2 linked regions of the Caenorhabditis elegans genome follow. The protein of the gene in region 1 interacts with the protein of each later gene in a pairwise test. Each region holds a gene or a part of one and is shown in the gene's direction. Other genes may lie near its edges.

Region 1 (6,820 bases):
TTCAAATCTTGAATCATGCAATCTTATCAACACCATAACCCAAAAATGTATTGCCCATTGTTGACTGGAGTCCTTCGGAGATTCCCAACTGAAAATTAAAATTATTTTCAGTTTTTGGATTGTTCAAACGGAAATGTAATATTTCCTTACTTTATTAATGGTTAGTCTGAAAACTATTATCCTAATAATAATTTTCAACACATTCCCTCAAATTGAAACCCGCTTAGTTGAATGGCACAACTACTACGGTTTCTCGATTTATATCCAGATAAATTTGGATTTTCGCGCGGACAATCCGGATTTCTTACGTCGTTCTTTGGAAAAAAATGTTTCCGATTATGGCGCACGATATGCGTTAGTGGTGTGTGTTGGGCAATGTTTGAAAATTTGGTAATTGGAGAATTTGGGAGAATGTGAATACATTCTTCAATGAAAGTTACTCGAAAACACTCACGAGGTTTGGAGCAGGGGTGTCGGTTATTTTAAAAATTTTTTCAGAAGACCGAAAAACGAAAAAAAAAGAAAAAAAAAGGTTAAGTTTACGCGTATCACAATTTTGGAAGTCGACAAAAAAAAAGAAATTCGCCAAAGGTTTGCCTGTAAATTTTTAAAATTTTAATACAAAAATCAAACAAATTTTTGAAGAAATTTAAGAATTTTCAAATGGCCTAGACATTGATTTTGATGTCCTAAAATTTTTGCATGCAAATCAATAATACAAAAATTATATATATATATATATATATATATACAGAAATCTATACCTTTCTAGGGACTTCCGCAGGTTTATCATGATCTGGACTTCCTTCCACAAGTATATATCCTCCAACAATTACATCCTTTTCGGGAGTTTTCATAACAAATCGGCTTCTAAAAATTAATATTCTCTGTGGGAATTTCATTGTAACAAACTTTTCCACTTTTCCACTTTCCACATCAGCGTGATATCTGTCCAGAGAATTATTACAGCAAAGTGTAGTTAGCAAAATGATAATTGGTAGCAGAATCAAAGCAATTAAAACAACGAATCCTAAGGTTAAATATGGAATTTCATATACCTTCATTTCTTACCTTCATTCAATGAGCACTGGCACGCAATTTGGATTCCATTGTAAATCAAAAAAATTGCAAAAAATACACCACCGGCAACAGCCGCCAGACTCAATGCCGCGCATAACACCATTCCAATCCATTTGACTAGGAGAACAGAAAATATTAGAATTCGGGACATATACCAGCGGATAAATGGAATGAAGCCACCCTGGAATTTTCAAATGTAAAACTTTTCTACCTTCAGTCTAATCTTACCTCATTATTTCCCCTTTCCGCCAGTTCTCTCAACTCTTCGATTTTTCGATGCTCTTCATCGTCCTCCCGTTCCACATAAAAATCATCTATCGGCTTTGGAGGATCTGGCTCTTTAGCTGTGGTAAGTGAAGCCAATGAATTTCTTAACGAGGCTTTCCTTGATTTTGATCCATGAGATTCCAAGAGATTCTGTGCAGATGGTCGATTTTCTGGATCGACGTTAAATATTTGATCAATAAGTTCACAAATTTCTTTCGATGCCGATGGAATTAAAGTTTGGGAAGAGTATATCAATTGACGACGGGTACACCATTCAGAAACCAGCTCCTAAATTACTCGATTAATTTTTAATCACTGCTTGAAATCTAACTCTATGCAAGCTCTCTCCGTGAAAATGCATGTAATGCTCCAAAAATGGAGGATATCGAGTGAGCATCGTGACAAGAACACATCCGACTGACCAGATATCTGATGATGGTGTCAGACATGGATAGGACTCTAATGACCGGAACGCTTCTGGTGGTGAGGCTAGAAGGGCACGACGTTTTTGAGCACTTGGGAGACCTTCAATAAAAGGATCCGCCAGTAGAATGTCATTTGAAATAGTTAGAAGGAGATTGGAAGCTAAGATAAATGTGGTCAATTCAGATATTTACAATTTGCACTTACCATTAAGTTTACCATGCACATGTTTTCTCTCGTGTAGATATGCCAGTGCATCAATTACATGAACAATATAACGCACGGCAGTTTCCTAAAATCCATGTAACATAGATATAAGTTAACATTTCTCAACTGACTTGTGGAATCGCTGATACCTTTACCAAATCAGCAACTGTCCCTGATGGTACATGGGCTCTGAACACCATAAGTTCGGTTTCCAGTCTCCAGTGGTATCCGTACATCGGAGCTAATCGTTTGTGACGGAGTTGGCACAGATCTTCAATTGTACGAGAGATTTTTTCAATTTCATCTGGCTGTAATTTGTAATTTGTTTTTTCGATTAACTGTTTGTTGTCGTCTTTTTCCTACCGTATTTCCTTCCTTCAACTTCCATTCCGTAACTGTATAACTAGCCATTGTTGCTGTATAAACATATTTTGACGTTTTACAAACATTTTCTCGTTCACATATTGTACCTGAAATACAGAGTGATTAGGAACGGAATCGGAGGGAAACCACTCCCTTTTCAATTCAAACTTGTGTTCTGACATCGGATTTTGTTGCAAAAAAAAAAATTTCGACAAGACAGAAAATTCAAACATTTTTTGAAAACTGGTTTGAAGTAATAGGGAAAAGTGATAAGAAAGTTGAAGTGTTCAATTGAGTCAGGAAAACACATCAAAAATTATAAAGAGTCAAAACAGTCAAAGAGCTACACCAGAAAATATTGTAGAACGTTAAAGGTGAAGAGCGTGAATGGGGATTTTACTTTAAAATGGGCTACAATCCATCAAGTTTGAAAATTGTTTGATTTTGGCTAATTTTCAATTGTGACTAATCTCCTCGTTTAAATTACCGCGCTTTTGTCCGCGCCGCATTTCGTAGATCTGCATCCGCGCTATTTTCTTTATTTCCGACGCGCAACATCTTTTTAAAGCGCGGTAATTCAAATGAGGAGACAAGTCAAAATTGAAAATAATTAGCCAAAATCAACCGATTTTTTTCAAACTTAATGGATTTTTTTTTTGTTTTTCTTTTGTGGTATTTTGTCATCTAGGTTCAGTTTTCGCATTTTAAAGTAAAATCCTGAACAGATGATCGAGAAGAGTTAGAAAAGCGACTTTATGTTTCTTAAATAATCCATTGAAAAAGGCTAGTTCTTTGTTCAGAATTCAAATTCGTGAAATTCTTCATCTTTTTGAGGCCCCACGAAAAGGGAAACTGAACGAAAAGGGGAAAGACGAAAAGGGGAATTGGCACAGTGCCAACGCACAAAACGCTAATTTTCCTGAAGAAAACGATACAACGATGTTAAGAAATTACGCACCGCGCGTTGTTTAGCGTGTTTTTCAGAAGGAATTTTCAAAAAACAACGCGCGTTGAATGAGAAGAAAGCGTTTTGTGCGTCGACAGAGCTAATTCCCCTTTTCGCATTTCCCCTTTTCGTGGGCCTCATCTTTTCCAACTTTCAAAAGACTACGATCCTCTAAAAGAAATCAATTGAACACCGAACACCAAAGCAATAGCTTCAATAGTTGAATAACAACTTCCTTACTGTCTATCCTCCACCCTCTAAATTTCTCAAAATTGCGGAAGTTTTTTGGACTAATCTGTGGAAACCGTATGTTTTTCTCGGCATGGCATAACGACAGAGAAACACAGTAGCGACCTTCACATCAAGATATCATTACTTTTTCGGTTTCCCAGGGCACGCGAGAGACGCAGACGTGTCAAAGTTCCTGGTTCAGCTGGTTGGCTTCCGTGTCTTCTGATGGGAGACAGTGAATTTCGGTATAAAAGGAGTAGATGGTGAGACCAGAATGGTACTTGACTTTGTTGTCCAGTCTCCTACAGTAATGTAAGTTTATTTTTCTATTTGGACCCATTCTAATTGTTGAGTGATGATTAGTATGTTAACGTTATTACTCGGAAGGATTATAAAGGATTTTCTAAAATTGCAGAATGACATCGGACGATCCAAAACAAGTCTCATACGAGACAGAGTCCCTTCGCAAGGTTGCATTCTTCGGAATCGCCGTGTCTACTATCGCCACACTTATCGCAATTGTGGCTGTTCCAATGCTGTACAACTATATACAACACGTCCAATCATCCCTCCAATCCGAAGTCGAGTTTTGTGCTCATCGTTCAAACGGTCTTTGGGATGAGTACAAGAGAGTACGTTTAGTTTTATTGAAGCAGTTTTTCTCTGAAAATATCAAATCCATAGACATATCTTTTCAGTTCGAAGGAGTAGCTGGAGTCGAAGGACGCATCAAGCGTAATGTTTACGAGCGCAAGTACCATGCTAAGCAACGTCGGCAATCTTACGGAGATTCTGGAGCTTCCGGAGGATTCTCATCAGGGGGAAGTGGAGGAGGATCTTGTTGCTCTTGTGGAGTTGGAAGCGCAGGGCCAGCCGGATCTCCGGGACAAGACGGAGCACCAGGAAACGATGGAGCTCCAGGAGCCCCAGGAAACCCAGGACAAGATGCTCAAGACAACCAGCCAGCCGGGCCAGACTCATTCTGTTTTGACTGCCCAGCTGGACCACCAGGACCATCGGGCGCTCCAGGACAAAAGGGTCCATCGGGTGCTCCAGGACAGCCAGGCCGTAGTGGAGGAGCGTCTCTTCCAGGACCACCAGGACCAGCTGGACCACCAGGACCATCCGGACAGCCAGGATCCAACGGAAACGCTGGAGCCCCAGGTGCTCCAGGACACGTTGTTGATGTTCCAGGAACTCCAGGACCAGCTGGACCACCAGGACCAGCTGGACCAGCCGGAGCTCCAGGACAGCCAGGTCAAGCCGGACACGCTCAACCAGGACAACCAGGACCACAAGGAGATGCTGGAGCTCCAGGAGCGCCAGGACAGCCAGGATCAGCAGGACAACCAGGAAACGATGGAGGGGATGGAGGACAAGGAGCCTGCGATCATTGCCCACCACCAAGAACTGCCCCAGGATATTAGATTTTTTAGAAAATGTTTTGAAATCGTCTCAAAAATTATAATAATTTTGGTGATTTTACCATTAATAAATACTGCCAGCATCAGTTTTTTTTAAACAAATCTGAACGCTCACCGATATGCATCATATCTTTCATGACATCTTCATTAATCCTCCAATTCTGAAATTCGTGCTTAGAAACTGTACTGCATTGAGTTGGAGTTGGAGATGGACACGCAATTTCTCTGAGTCTTTTCAGATGTTCTTCGCTCATTTTTATCGAACATGGAGAATTCCGTCGTTTGAATGGAAATGTGTCTGAAGGGCGCAGTGGAGTTGCCACATCATCTGTCTCTGACAACTCGGAACGTTCTTCCTCTGATGGATCTTCTTCTTCTTCTTCTACAATAATTTCAGGGTATTTCGTGTTGTTCGGAATGTGCAAGTATTTCTCCTCTGAATGCATTTTTGACGGAACTGAAATGTTTCAATAAATTTTTTAAAGTTATAACATAAAAAACTAAGTACTTTTTTTTTGTACGAGTAGATGAAGTAATCAGCTACCAGAATCTAATATAAAATTTTGCCAAAGACCTCCCTCTAGAATTCTGAAAAATTCGCTCTGAGAATGTTTCTCTTCGTCTCACGCTTTTCAACACTCTCTCCCGTTTTCATAGCTTTATTTTCATTTTCATTTTAAGAGCGAATTTTACAGATTTTCAGAGGTCTTTGGCAAGATTTTATATTAGATTTTGGTAGCTGATTGATTCATCTACTCATACAAAAATAAAAAAAAGTAAACTTCTCTAAATTATTTACTTGTGGTATAAAAACTTTCACAAAAAGAGGTGTTTGTTGTCGAAACAAATAGGTATGTTTTGAAAAAAAAAACTCAAGAAAAACCAAGAAAATGTATAATCAAAGAAAGAAAAAAATTTGAGCAAAGTGAATAAATCATACAAAATCTATGACTTCCAATTCAAATATGAAAAGGAAATTTTTGAAACAAATTTTTCTAAGCTTACTTTTTCATAATTTTTCTACACCCACTTATTGTAAAACACATTATCTTTTAGACATTTGTCACCAATTTACCAATATTAAAAAGGTTGTTACGATTATAGTTGTTTCACGTTTTCAAGAATTCACCATAATTTCTGAGCATTGTTCAAAATTTTATTTAAACCTAAAATGAAAAATCGAAAAAAAAATCAATTGGAAGTTTTCTTATCACTTAATTTTTAACAACACACATATACCCCACATAATTCCAAAGTCGTTATCAGTAGAGAAAAAAAAACTATTTATGCACAACAGGAGTTTAACAAACGGTTGTTATTGGATATCGTGGAAAACTGAAAACTCCCTTTAAAGGCACCTACATATTTTTCGACGGGTCTCACGAATGCGTTTGATTAAAACAGTTTAAAAACTAATATTTGATCGGACAAACACCTTTTCAAGTTAATTAGCGCCAGAGCGATGCTAATGTCAAAAATAATATTTATAACTTGCCCCACCTAGCTATTCTTTTTTTGTCTAATTTTTCTATGTCTGGCATTTGCCGTTCTGCGACTCATAATTTTTTTTCGGCGATCGACATTTGCCGTTTTCCGAAAAACTTAGTTTTTTCGGCATTTTTCGGCACTTCTTTTTCGCATTCTTAAAGTTGTTGATGTTTTGTTGTTTTTTCTTGCATTTTCTAAATCTAAATAGTACAATTCCAAAGTTTGATAAGGAGGTTTGAATTTTAAAGCAAAAATCAATTTCATATTTAAACGACCAGACTGTGGGATAGTCAAAAAGGATCCCAGAGGCAAGATTGATTCAAAACAATTGTACACGTGAACAGTCATAGACAACATCTTTGACGGTTTTATGATGGGGTGACGATGCGGC
Region 2 (9,798 bases), on another chromosome or scaffold:
GTACGCAAACAACATATATCACGGGAACATTGAATTTCGAGAATGCGTACTGGGCACCATATCTGGCGCGCAAAATATCTCGTAGCGAAAACTACAGTGATTCTTTAAATGACTGTCGATTTACCGAAATTTTTTATTAATTAATACAATATTAAAAGAAAGCAAAGAAAATTGAATATCACTGTCACAATTCGAACAGAAATTCGTTGCAAAAATCGAGCGCGTAAATCGACGCTACAGTAGTCATGCAAAGGGTTACTGTAGTTTTCGCTACGAGATATTTTGCGCATCACATATGTTGTGTAGTACGCATTTTCAGAATTTAGTATGCCAAAATATTTACGCTTCTGATGAGTTTTAAAATGCAGAATTGCCAAAAAATTGGCATAAACTAACGGGGCGAAAAAGAGCGCTGATTAAGATTTTTGTGAAAAAAAAGGAATTTTTCGAATTTCCAGCAATCAATTTCCTCGGAACCTTCATTCCAATCGCATTGGTAGAACGTGTGGGTCGTCGTGTGCTTCTCCTTGTCTCAATGATCGGTGTGATTCTTTTCCTGATCGCAATGGGTGTCTCATTCCTTCTAATCAATAATGTGAGATTTTTCTAACTATCAACAATTTTAAATATTTTATTCCGAATTTCCAGGACTCATTGAGAACATTCGATCAACAAAACTACACTTTGAACTACAATCCATCTGTGAAACATGCTGCAAAGTGTCTCAAATATAGTAATTGCGATTTCTGTGTAACTGATGAGAACTGCGGATTTTGCGAGAGCAAGGTTGCTAAAAAAGGTTTTTGCAAGCTGAAATTCATCTAAAACCAATGAAAATTCCAGGATACTGTCTACCATTCCCATCGGATGACTCTAGTGACTACTCTGCCACTGGAATTTGTGAATTCTCGAATTTGACAAACAATGGAACAGATTTCGAGTGGGAAGACACCTATTGTCACACTAAATTCACAGTATTGCCAATTATTATTATGGTCTTTTACCTTTTATCATTCTCTGCAGGTGGGTTTTGTAAATTAAAAGGCAAATGCGCTCCATTGCACCATGCACAATATTCTGGGTCTCGTGGGCGTTTTCAAGAATTTTTTTGGATTTTTGAATTTTTTAAAATGTAAAAATGTGTTTAAAAATAGTTTAGAAATGTAATTTGACATAAAACATCATTAAATTTGAAAATTTGAATTTTTGGGTTTTCCGCCTATTGCGTTAGAGCGCGAATGCACTTAGGATTAAAAAAGCGCAATTTTCAGCGTCGCCATATTATTGCACTCAAAAGCGAAAGTTTGGGTCTTGACGCGACAAATTCGTGTTAAACGCAAAAAGGTGTGCGCCTTTAAAGCGTACTGTAGAATTTTTAACGATTTTTCATACTCAATTATTTACTCGACGATGGTATTTGTTTTTATTAAAAGACTATGAAAAACTACAAAAAAAATGGAAAAATTGAAAATTCCACATCAACAAAAATTTGAAGCTACAGTACTCTTTAAAGGCGCACGCCTTTTTTGCATTTAACATAAATTTGTCGTGTCGAGACCGAAGATAAAGTGGAAATGCGCTCCAACGCTAAAACCGAGAAATTCAAATTTTTCAATGCATTTCACACATTTTTAAAACTAGCTTTTACAAAAAAGTTATCGAAAAAATGCCTGAAAACGGCCAAAATGAGAGATAAGGCACGAATTTACGGCTTTGCCTCCAACTCCTACCGAGACCCAAATAGTTCGTTGGAGCGCGATTGCACTTCAAAACTTCAAACTTCAAAATGCTTAATAATTCATCAATTCACGTAATTCCAGGTTACGCCCCGCTACCATGGGTTCTAAACGCCGAATTTTATCCATTATGGGCGAGAAGTACAGCCGTATCGGTATCAACTGCATGCAATTGGATATTTAATTTAATAGTCTCACTGACATTCCTGTCACTTTCCCAGGCAGCAACAAAATATGGAACATTCTTCATTTATTGTGGATGCACCATGGTTGCTCTTGTATTCGTTTTCTTCTTTGTTCCAGAAACAAAAGGATATTCAATTGATGAAGTTGAGATGTTATTCATGACAAAAGAAGAGAGAAGGAAAGCTCAGAAAGTTCTGGATGAGAGTAAAGAAGGGAAGCATCGGAATTCTGTTGCAATGTCTTTTGATACTAAATTCTAATTGTTTTCCTAATTTGCAAGCTTTAATTACTGTTTAAACATGTTTCAACAGTTATTCATGTATAATATTTTGTAATTGTGAATAATAAACTATTTTTATATTCCTAAAAACAAAAAAAAATCCAACAAAAAAATTTCAACAATCTTTAAAAAAACGTTTCGACGTCGAGTCATCCATCAGCACCTTCTTCCTCTCACGAACGAAATTTCCACGATCATCGACACGTGGTGAGGTGACGTTATGGCGGACGTTATAGGCAGAATATGGATCATTTGGATAATGCTTTGGACGGAGCCAATATGGAGTCATCAGTTTGTCGAGAATTTCGCACTGTTCCTGAAAATTGAATCATTTTATGAAAAAGTTGGGGAAATTGACGAATTTGACGATGAATTTAGCTTTCTAATTCCTGAAAAAAAAACCCGAAAAATTGTACCTTGGTACAGGTCTCATAATAAAGACTAGTCTTCTGCCACGTTTCATCTTTCATATATCTCAGCTTATGACGTCCTGGATGCGCGTGAATCCACATTCCATTGTTTAGACGTTTGAATCTGAAAATTTTCAGTTTTAAAAATTAGTTTCGCATTTTTAAGTTCAAAAAATCAATAATTATTGAATTAAATTTTTTAATAAGCTAATAAATAGCGTTACCTGTCTAAAACATCTTGCGCCGGCCGTTTCCGTCCGACTTTCTGATCGAATCGAATGTGATACTCGTGAGCCGGAATATTGGCGATTCCACGGGCGGCCAATGTGATCGGAGCCTGTCTTGATGCACATAATGTGCTCAACGCCGTTTTTCCCAACATTTTTTTGGCTGAAAATAAAAAGTAAAGGTAAATTTCATGTGAAATTGAGAAAAAATCAGGAAAAAAATTGATACAAAATAAAAATTGAATTTTCAAAGCGACTACGGTCAGCATTCGGTGTATGCACACTTTTCTCTCGCGTCTCTCCATTTCACACACTCTCTCGTGGCGCAATTTTTTTTTTGAGAAAAAAGAAAACAATAAAGAGAGTAAACAACAAAGTTGGACAGAATTCTATATAATTTTTATTTATTTCGGGTTTTTTTCAGTGATATTTATCGTTTTCGTTATCGATTTTATTGCCGATCACTCGTTTTTCGTTGCGTCATGGTAATTTTATCTTTAAAAATCTAAGAAAACACATTTTATTTAAATTTTTTTATAAGATTTCAATATTTCAGATGTCCTCAGAAGGCATAGAGCGCTATTTTGGCGCCGGCGACAGTGAACAACGAACAGCACTTCAATTTGCGTTTTATAATGTGCTACTTTTTGTTTTGGTACGCTTTAAATTTTAAAAATTAATTTTTAAAATTCAATTAAATTAAATAAAATCTAAAAATTATCAGCTCGGAGTCTCATTATGTGGTCTGGCTGCTCTCTACAACATGATGTACATGTTTTTATCACCAATGCTCTGGGCGGTGCTCGTTGGTACAGTACTTTTCCCGTTCAAAAAGAAGGTCGCAGATACTGTTCAGCGTAAGTTTTCTGGCTAAATTAATTTCAAAATCTTTCAAATAAATTAAAAACTTTACAGATTGGCTAAGAAATCTTCAAAAATCGAATCAAACTCTCGCCAAATCAGTGATTACTCTCCCGTTCACCGGATTCTCCAAAATTTCTGAAAAAATCTACACAACCTTCGCCAGCCCGAATGGAGCTATAATTGTTATAGCCTATACTGCGTTGAAAATTCTTTCATATGAAAGAACTTTTATGTATATTATCAGCTGGATGGGACGACTCTACGGATATTTGGATTCTTTCATTGTTTTCTTTGCGAGACCCTGGGTTCTTCCACTGATTATCGTTTATTTCTGCTGCTACGCCGCCTGGATTTATGTTCAAAACCCGAAAGAGATTAATAAGAAGCTTGCAAGATCATTTTCTCTTCCCATTTGGTAAAAATTCCTAGTTTAAAAATGAAAACAATGAATTAATTTCTTGTTAAAAATTCCAGGATCTACGTAATTTCCTACGCTTCCCTGTATTTCGGACCTCTGAGAGCCGGTGTTTTTGGAGTTTCAGCTGCTGTCCTGGGAATGTTATCAGCCGGATTAATTGGAGGTCATAGACCAAGTGAAGAATTACTTGAGAAAGAAAATTCTTCTGAAAATCTAGATGAATCCATTCTTCCTCCAAACGTGGAGAAAGTTCTGGAAACTGCGAAAGAAAAATGTGAGTTTCTAGGAAACCGCAATTTCGGGTGAAAAACATTATTTTTGCATTTTAAAACCCTTTTTTTCTATTTAAAAGTGCCAAAAATGTAGAAAAAAAACATTAATTTTTGAATTTTTCGATCAAAAAAGCCGAAGCGTTGCGAAACCACGCGCGTAAATGAGTCGATGTCCCTTTAAGATTTGTGTAGATTTACGCTTGATTTTTAGGCAGAATTCTTGATTTTGGTTTATTTTTCTTGAATTAAACGCCTAGAATAGCTTATTTAAAGCCACTTTTTATCTAAAAATCAGTTATTTAAAATTTTTTGCAGGAAAAATTCTGAAAAATGGCCAAAAACTGTGCCGCAGGCTTACAAAACGACCGCCGGCATCTTTTTAATGTTAGAAATCTGTAAAAATTCAATTTTTTATTCTATTAATTTCTAATAATGTTAATTTTCAGTGGACGCAACAGAACAATCGCTTCTCGACAATTCCCTTCTCTCCACATCAACAGTAGACGAAGCTATCACTGGAGACTGGCTAATTCGTTGTGTTTTCGGTCTTTGTGCTCTTCTTTGGGTTGTACGTCATGATGGAGCCCTGATTCTTCTCGCAATTCCATTTGTATTGGCTGTAATCTCCAGAACTGCCGAACAACTTGGAATCACTGCCGCTATCCATAATTTCCTGGATTCCACTTGGCAAAAGATGTCACCATCAGTCACAAAAATCGTGGAGATTACCGTAGCCGGGCCATTACGACAATTTGTGAAAATGTTGTTCTCATCGGATAAATATATTGTTGATACACTACATGATAAGATGGATGTATTGTCATCTGTAATAGTTATGGCTCTTCTCGCATTTTCTGCAATCTTTTCCGTATTCTTCTTTGGATTCCAACTGCATGGAGAAACGGTTCATCTTGTCAGACTTACATCGAATGTGGTGAATTCTCGTCCGGATTGGCTTGCCGCGGCGATGGATTATACGGAGGATCAGTTGGAAGAGAATAATATTGATATTGATGATTATGTTCAGCAGGTGCTGTTTTTTTTTAATTCTTAGAGTTTTTTAATTCTTAGTAGTTTTTTTTCGCTGTTTTTGCAGAGAAAATCGAGAAAAAAAATTTTAAAATATTTTTTTTTATTTAAAAAATTCAATTTTTCTGGAAAAAAGCGAATTTTCCTTATTTTGAAAGGAACATATGAATACATCGGAAAACAAAATTTCTGTAAAAAGTTATTTAAAAAAATATTTTTTTTTCCAAAAATAAATCAATTTTTCAGGAAAAAAAGCTTATTTTTATTTAAAAACAATTTTTAAAGTAAAATGCATATATCCGAATTAAATCACTTTTTCGTAAAAAAAATCAATTTTCCGAAAAATAATTTTTTAAATCGACATTTCCAACAAAAAAACAATAATTTTGCAATTTTCAGGCTTACGAACAAGGCCGTACTTGGTTGGCCTCCAATGTGAGATCCCTGGCGAACGCAAAAGACACAAAAAGAGCCGATATGCTCGAGGAGCAGGTTAAGCAAGTCGTTGATAAACTCTACAATATGTGGGAAGAGAGAAATAATAATTTCACAGTTGGTGGGTTTTTTCAAAATTTTTTTAATTAAATAAAAAAATTTGGAAAAAAGTTCCAGCAGTAAATCAGGAGCCACGCGGTGATGTCTGGACTCAATTGAAGGGGGTCACTGATTTGACAGCACTGAAAGACGAGCTAACACTGATTGTCAAGGAGAATTTGGACACTCTTATGGGGGTTTGAAGGCTTTTTTCTCAATTAAAAAAACTAATTTTAATTTTAAAAAAATTTCAGATCGCCCAATCTATTGGAGCAATTCTTGCCGTAAATGTGTCAATCTTCTCTTCACTTTTGGTCTCTCTCGCCGGAATTATTTTAAGCTTTGGAATGGATTTGCTCAACACATTTATCGAGATGGTACTGAATAATTTCTCTAGATTATTTGAAAATCGATATAAAGTGAATTTCAGATTGTCTTCCTTACAATGGTATATTATCTTCTCTCGGCTTCTCGTACTCGCTGGCTTCCTCTTCAATGGGCTTCTGATCTCTCAGCAGTCACTACAGCCGATGGCTCGTCAGCAGGAAATCAGCATCATATTACTGTAGCGATAGAACATGCGATTTTGTACGTTTTTAGGCTTAAAAATTTAGAAAATCGACTGTAAAGTCCTGAAAAATAGCTTTTTTACGAACAATTTAAATAATTAAATTTTAGGTTAATCTCTGGGTTTTATCGAATTTTCCGTAGAAAAACCTCCAAAATTGGCCTATTTTCCATGTTTTTGGGGAAAAATTTCAGAAAATTCGGCAAAAATAGTCCCATTTGTATGGGAAAAATGAAGTAATGACTTTGCCCGGGTTTGTTGGAAAATTGAAAAATCCATACATTTTGAGTAGTTTCGCCCCATTTTCTATATTTTAATGGGAATTATTATTTAAAAGTTAATTAAAAAATCCTTTTTTCAGCGGAGTATTCGTTCTTTCTGCAAAAATGGCTGTTTTCTACGGTCTCTACACTTATTTTGTGCACAGTCTTTTCGATTTGAACATTGTATTTGTTCCATCAAGTGAGTTGATTTTAAAATTTAATTAATTTTACTAAGTCCCATTTTTCCAGTGGCTGCCACAGTATTCGCTGCTATTCCAATTATGCCTCCCTACATCGTCGCAATCTTCGGAATCGTCGAACTCTGGCTGGTTCGAGGAGAAGGAGCAGCTGCTCTTGTATTCACAGTCGCTTCATTTGCTCCTGTAATGTTCGCAGATGCTACTTTTTACCGGGAAGTTAAGGGATCTCATCCATATGTGACCGGTTTGGCTATCATTGGTGGAATGTACTGGTTGGGATTGCAGGTTTGTGTATTTAACTTCTTCTACTAAAAAAGTACCTCATTTAAATATATTTTCAGGGCGCAATCATAGGACCAATTGTTCTCTGCCTTTGCCTCGTACTTGTCAACGTTTATCTCCAGCACGTGAAGCCAACAGCTCTGTACACCCCAGCTCCGTCTCCACGAAATGTGAAGCTGCATAATCATTGATTATATTAATCAAAAATATTTTTCGCATTCTTTAGACACTGCCTTTAGTTTGTTTGACCCCTGTATTTTACAAATTTCGGTTCTTGCCATTCCTGGTGAACTTTTGTCTCATAATAAACATGTATTTTTTTTCGGATTTCTGTTTATTTTGCTCATTATGGTAACGTGAAAGCCAATTTAAACTATTTTTCCGTTTCAAAAGCGTTTTATCCTTTTTAGAACTCTAGTTATGATCAAAATCACGAATAAACCACGTAAAAAGTCAAAAGGGACCTCACTATTAAGGTTTTTATGAAAATTCCCAAGATTCTGCTGGAAAAATGAGTTAAATTTGATTGTTGAAGTGAAAAAAAATGTTGCGAATGGCCTTGCGGACTACGGTGGATTTTTCTGTGCATACACCGTCACGTCTGATTGCGTATCGTGGCGAGACCCATCGAACCTCAACGCATGGCTTTTTCCGCTATCCTAAAATTTTTTCACGATTTTCGCCTGATTTTTCACGTTTTTGCGCGATTTTTTGCATAAAATTGATTGAATTTTTAATTTTTAAACGATTAATAGTGCTAATTATCGATTGTAGTTCTTATTCTGCGAGATTTGTCAGAAACTAGGTAGGAAAAGTGGAAAAATGTTCCCAAAATCCAAATTTGTCTATTTCTCAACCAGAATTTCAGTTGTAGGGGGTCCCTCTTGATTTTCAACACAAGGAGTTTAATTATTACCGGTAGATTGTTTAAGCATGCTAGCTCGGGTATGGGTCCGTGGACTTGCAGCCACAAAGAAAAAACCGCAAGTTCTCGTCAAAGATGGACCATCGCTTCAGGATTTTATTTCATCAGGTAAAACTCAAACAATATTGTTTCATAATCAAATAATTATTAATTTTAGCATCCGTGGCAGAGGCTGTTGAGAAGTACGAAGGAAAACTGAAGCTGGAGAAAGGGGACAGACGTTTGCGACTTCCACCATGGCTCAAGAAAGAAAAGGTATAGCCTATCAATTTTTTGCCCCTCATCACAATTGTTTTCAGATTCTTCCATCGGAAAACGAAAATGTCAGTCGTCTAAAAAAGCAGTTGAAACATCTCAAACTAGCGACTGTTTGTCAGGAAGCACGGTGCCCAAATCTTGGAGAATGCTGGGGAGGATCAGATGACAGTCTAGCAACAGCGACAATCATGTTGATGGGAGATACCTGCACTCGGGGTTGTAAATTCTGTTCGGTCAAAACTGCTCGAGCTCCTCCACCATTGGATCCTATGGAACCGGAAAATACGTCGACCGCCGTTGCTTCATGGGGTGTCGAATACATTGTTTTAACATCAGTTGACAGGTAACTTATTCGTATCTTGAGCTTTTAATCAAAGTAATTTTCAGGGATGATTTGCCAGACGGTGGAGCCGATCATCTTCGCAAGACAGTACAGCTGATGAAGCTCAAGAAGCCTGAACTTCTCATCGAATGCTTATTGCCCGATTTCGCTGGAGATAAGATCAGTGTGGAGAAAATGGCTACCAGTGGACTCGATGTATATGCACATAACATTGAAACGGTTGAAAGACTGACTCCATGGGTCAGAGATCCACGAGCTAAATATCGGCAGTCTTTGGACGGTAAGCAGCTTTTTTTTTTTTCAGAATCTCGTAAATATTATTGAATATTTTTTAAGCTCTTCGATACGCAAAGGAAGTCAGCCCAAAGCTAATCACGAAGACATCGATTATGCTAGGACTGGGCGAAGCTGAAGACGAGATAAAGCAGTGCTTGGCCGATCTTCGAGCTAGCAATGTTGACGTTGTCACTTTCGGTCAATACATGCAGCCGACAAAACGTCATTTGCTTGTCAAAGAATGGGTGACCCCCGAGAAATTCGACCAGTGGGCAGAATATTCGAAAAAACTGGGATTCCTTTACGTTGCATCTGGCCCTCTTGTTCGCTCTTCGTACAAAGCCGGAGAATTCTATTTGAAAAATGTGTTGAGAAATAGACAAAATTAAGATTACTGAAATATGTAAATATTAGAAGAATTTGTGCGGGATTCTTGCCAAATAAATTCTCGAAATAGTTTTCATATATTTATTGTTATGCGCGTTCTCTCGCTTCGATTTATCTCTCTTCCTTTACTCTCGTGTATTTCTAAACTTTCCCCTTCTTATCAGTATTTATTTCAGGGTAAACGATGGGTCTGTCGAACAGAGCAATCATCATTGACGGAAAGAACCACCTTCTCGGTCGGTTGGCTTCCATCGTTGCAAAGAAGCTTCTCCAAGGAGACAAGGTTGTCGTCCTCAGAGCTGAAGAGATCGTCATCTCCGGAAACTTCCACCGTTCCAAG

The links.
Region 2: the proteins of col-101 (region 1) and M01F1.4 interact in a two-hybrid assay, tested with the Caenorhabditis elegans proteins (one large-scale study listed by BioGRID).

The regions. Positions count from the first base shown.
Region 1 is NC_003282.8:323,643-330,462, reverse strand, and holds col-101 (Nematode cuticle collagen N-terminal domain-containing protein), read left to right. Parts: upstream 1-3,442; 5' UTR 3,443-3,791; coding exon 3,792-3,829; intron 3,830-3,932; coding exon 3,933-4,149; intron 4,150-4,215; coding exon 4,216-4,944; 3' UTR 4,945-5,028; downstream 5,029-6,820. Other genes in the region: Protein drl-1, read right to left, coding at 14-88, 765-870, 913-1,030, 1,072-1,261, 1,309-1,635, 1,679-1,932, 1,978-2,062, 2,109-2,285 and 2 more.
Region 2 is NC_003281.10:3,503,441-3,513,238, reverse strand, and holds M01F1.4 (Transmembrane protein 245), read left to right. Parts: upstream 1-3,205; 5' UTR 3,206-3,321; coding exon 3,322-3,324; intron 3,325-3,395; coding exon 3,396-3,494; intron 3,495-3,563; coding exon 3,564-3,696; intron 3,697-3,754; coding exon 3,755-4,118; intron 4,119-4,177; coding exon 4,178-4,395; intron 4,396-4,839; coding exon 4,840-5,423; intron 5,424-5,821; coding exon 5,822-5,978; exon of another isoform or gene 5,979-6,034; coding exon 6,035-6,153; intron 6,154-6,210; coding exon 6,211-6,333; intron 6,334-6,386; coding exon 6,387-6,544; intron 6,545-6,885; coding exon 6,886-6,986; intron 6,987-7,036; coding exon 7,037-7,272; intron 7,273-7,328; coding exon 7,329-7,460; 3' UTR 7,461-7,596; downstream 7,597-9,798. Other genes in the region: Proton myo-inositol cotransporter hmit-1.3, read left to right, coding at 459-595, 649-799, 844-1,023, 1,821-2,182; mrpl-35 (Large ribosomal subunit protein bL35m), read right to left, coding at 2,318-2,518, 2,619-2,736, 2,837-2,994; lias-1 (Lipoyl synthase, mitochondrial), read left to right, coding at 8,203-8,302, 8,352-8,449, 8,494-8,795, 8,840-9,075, 9,132-9,460; rpl-13A (Large ribosomal subunit protein uL13), read left to right, coding at 9,643-9,798.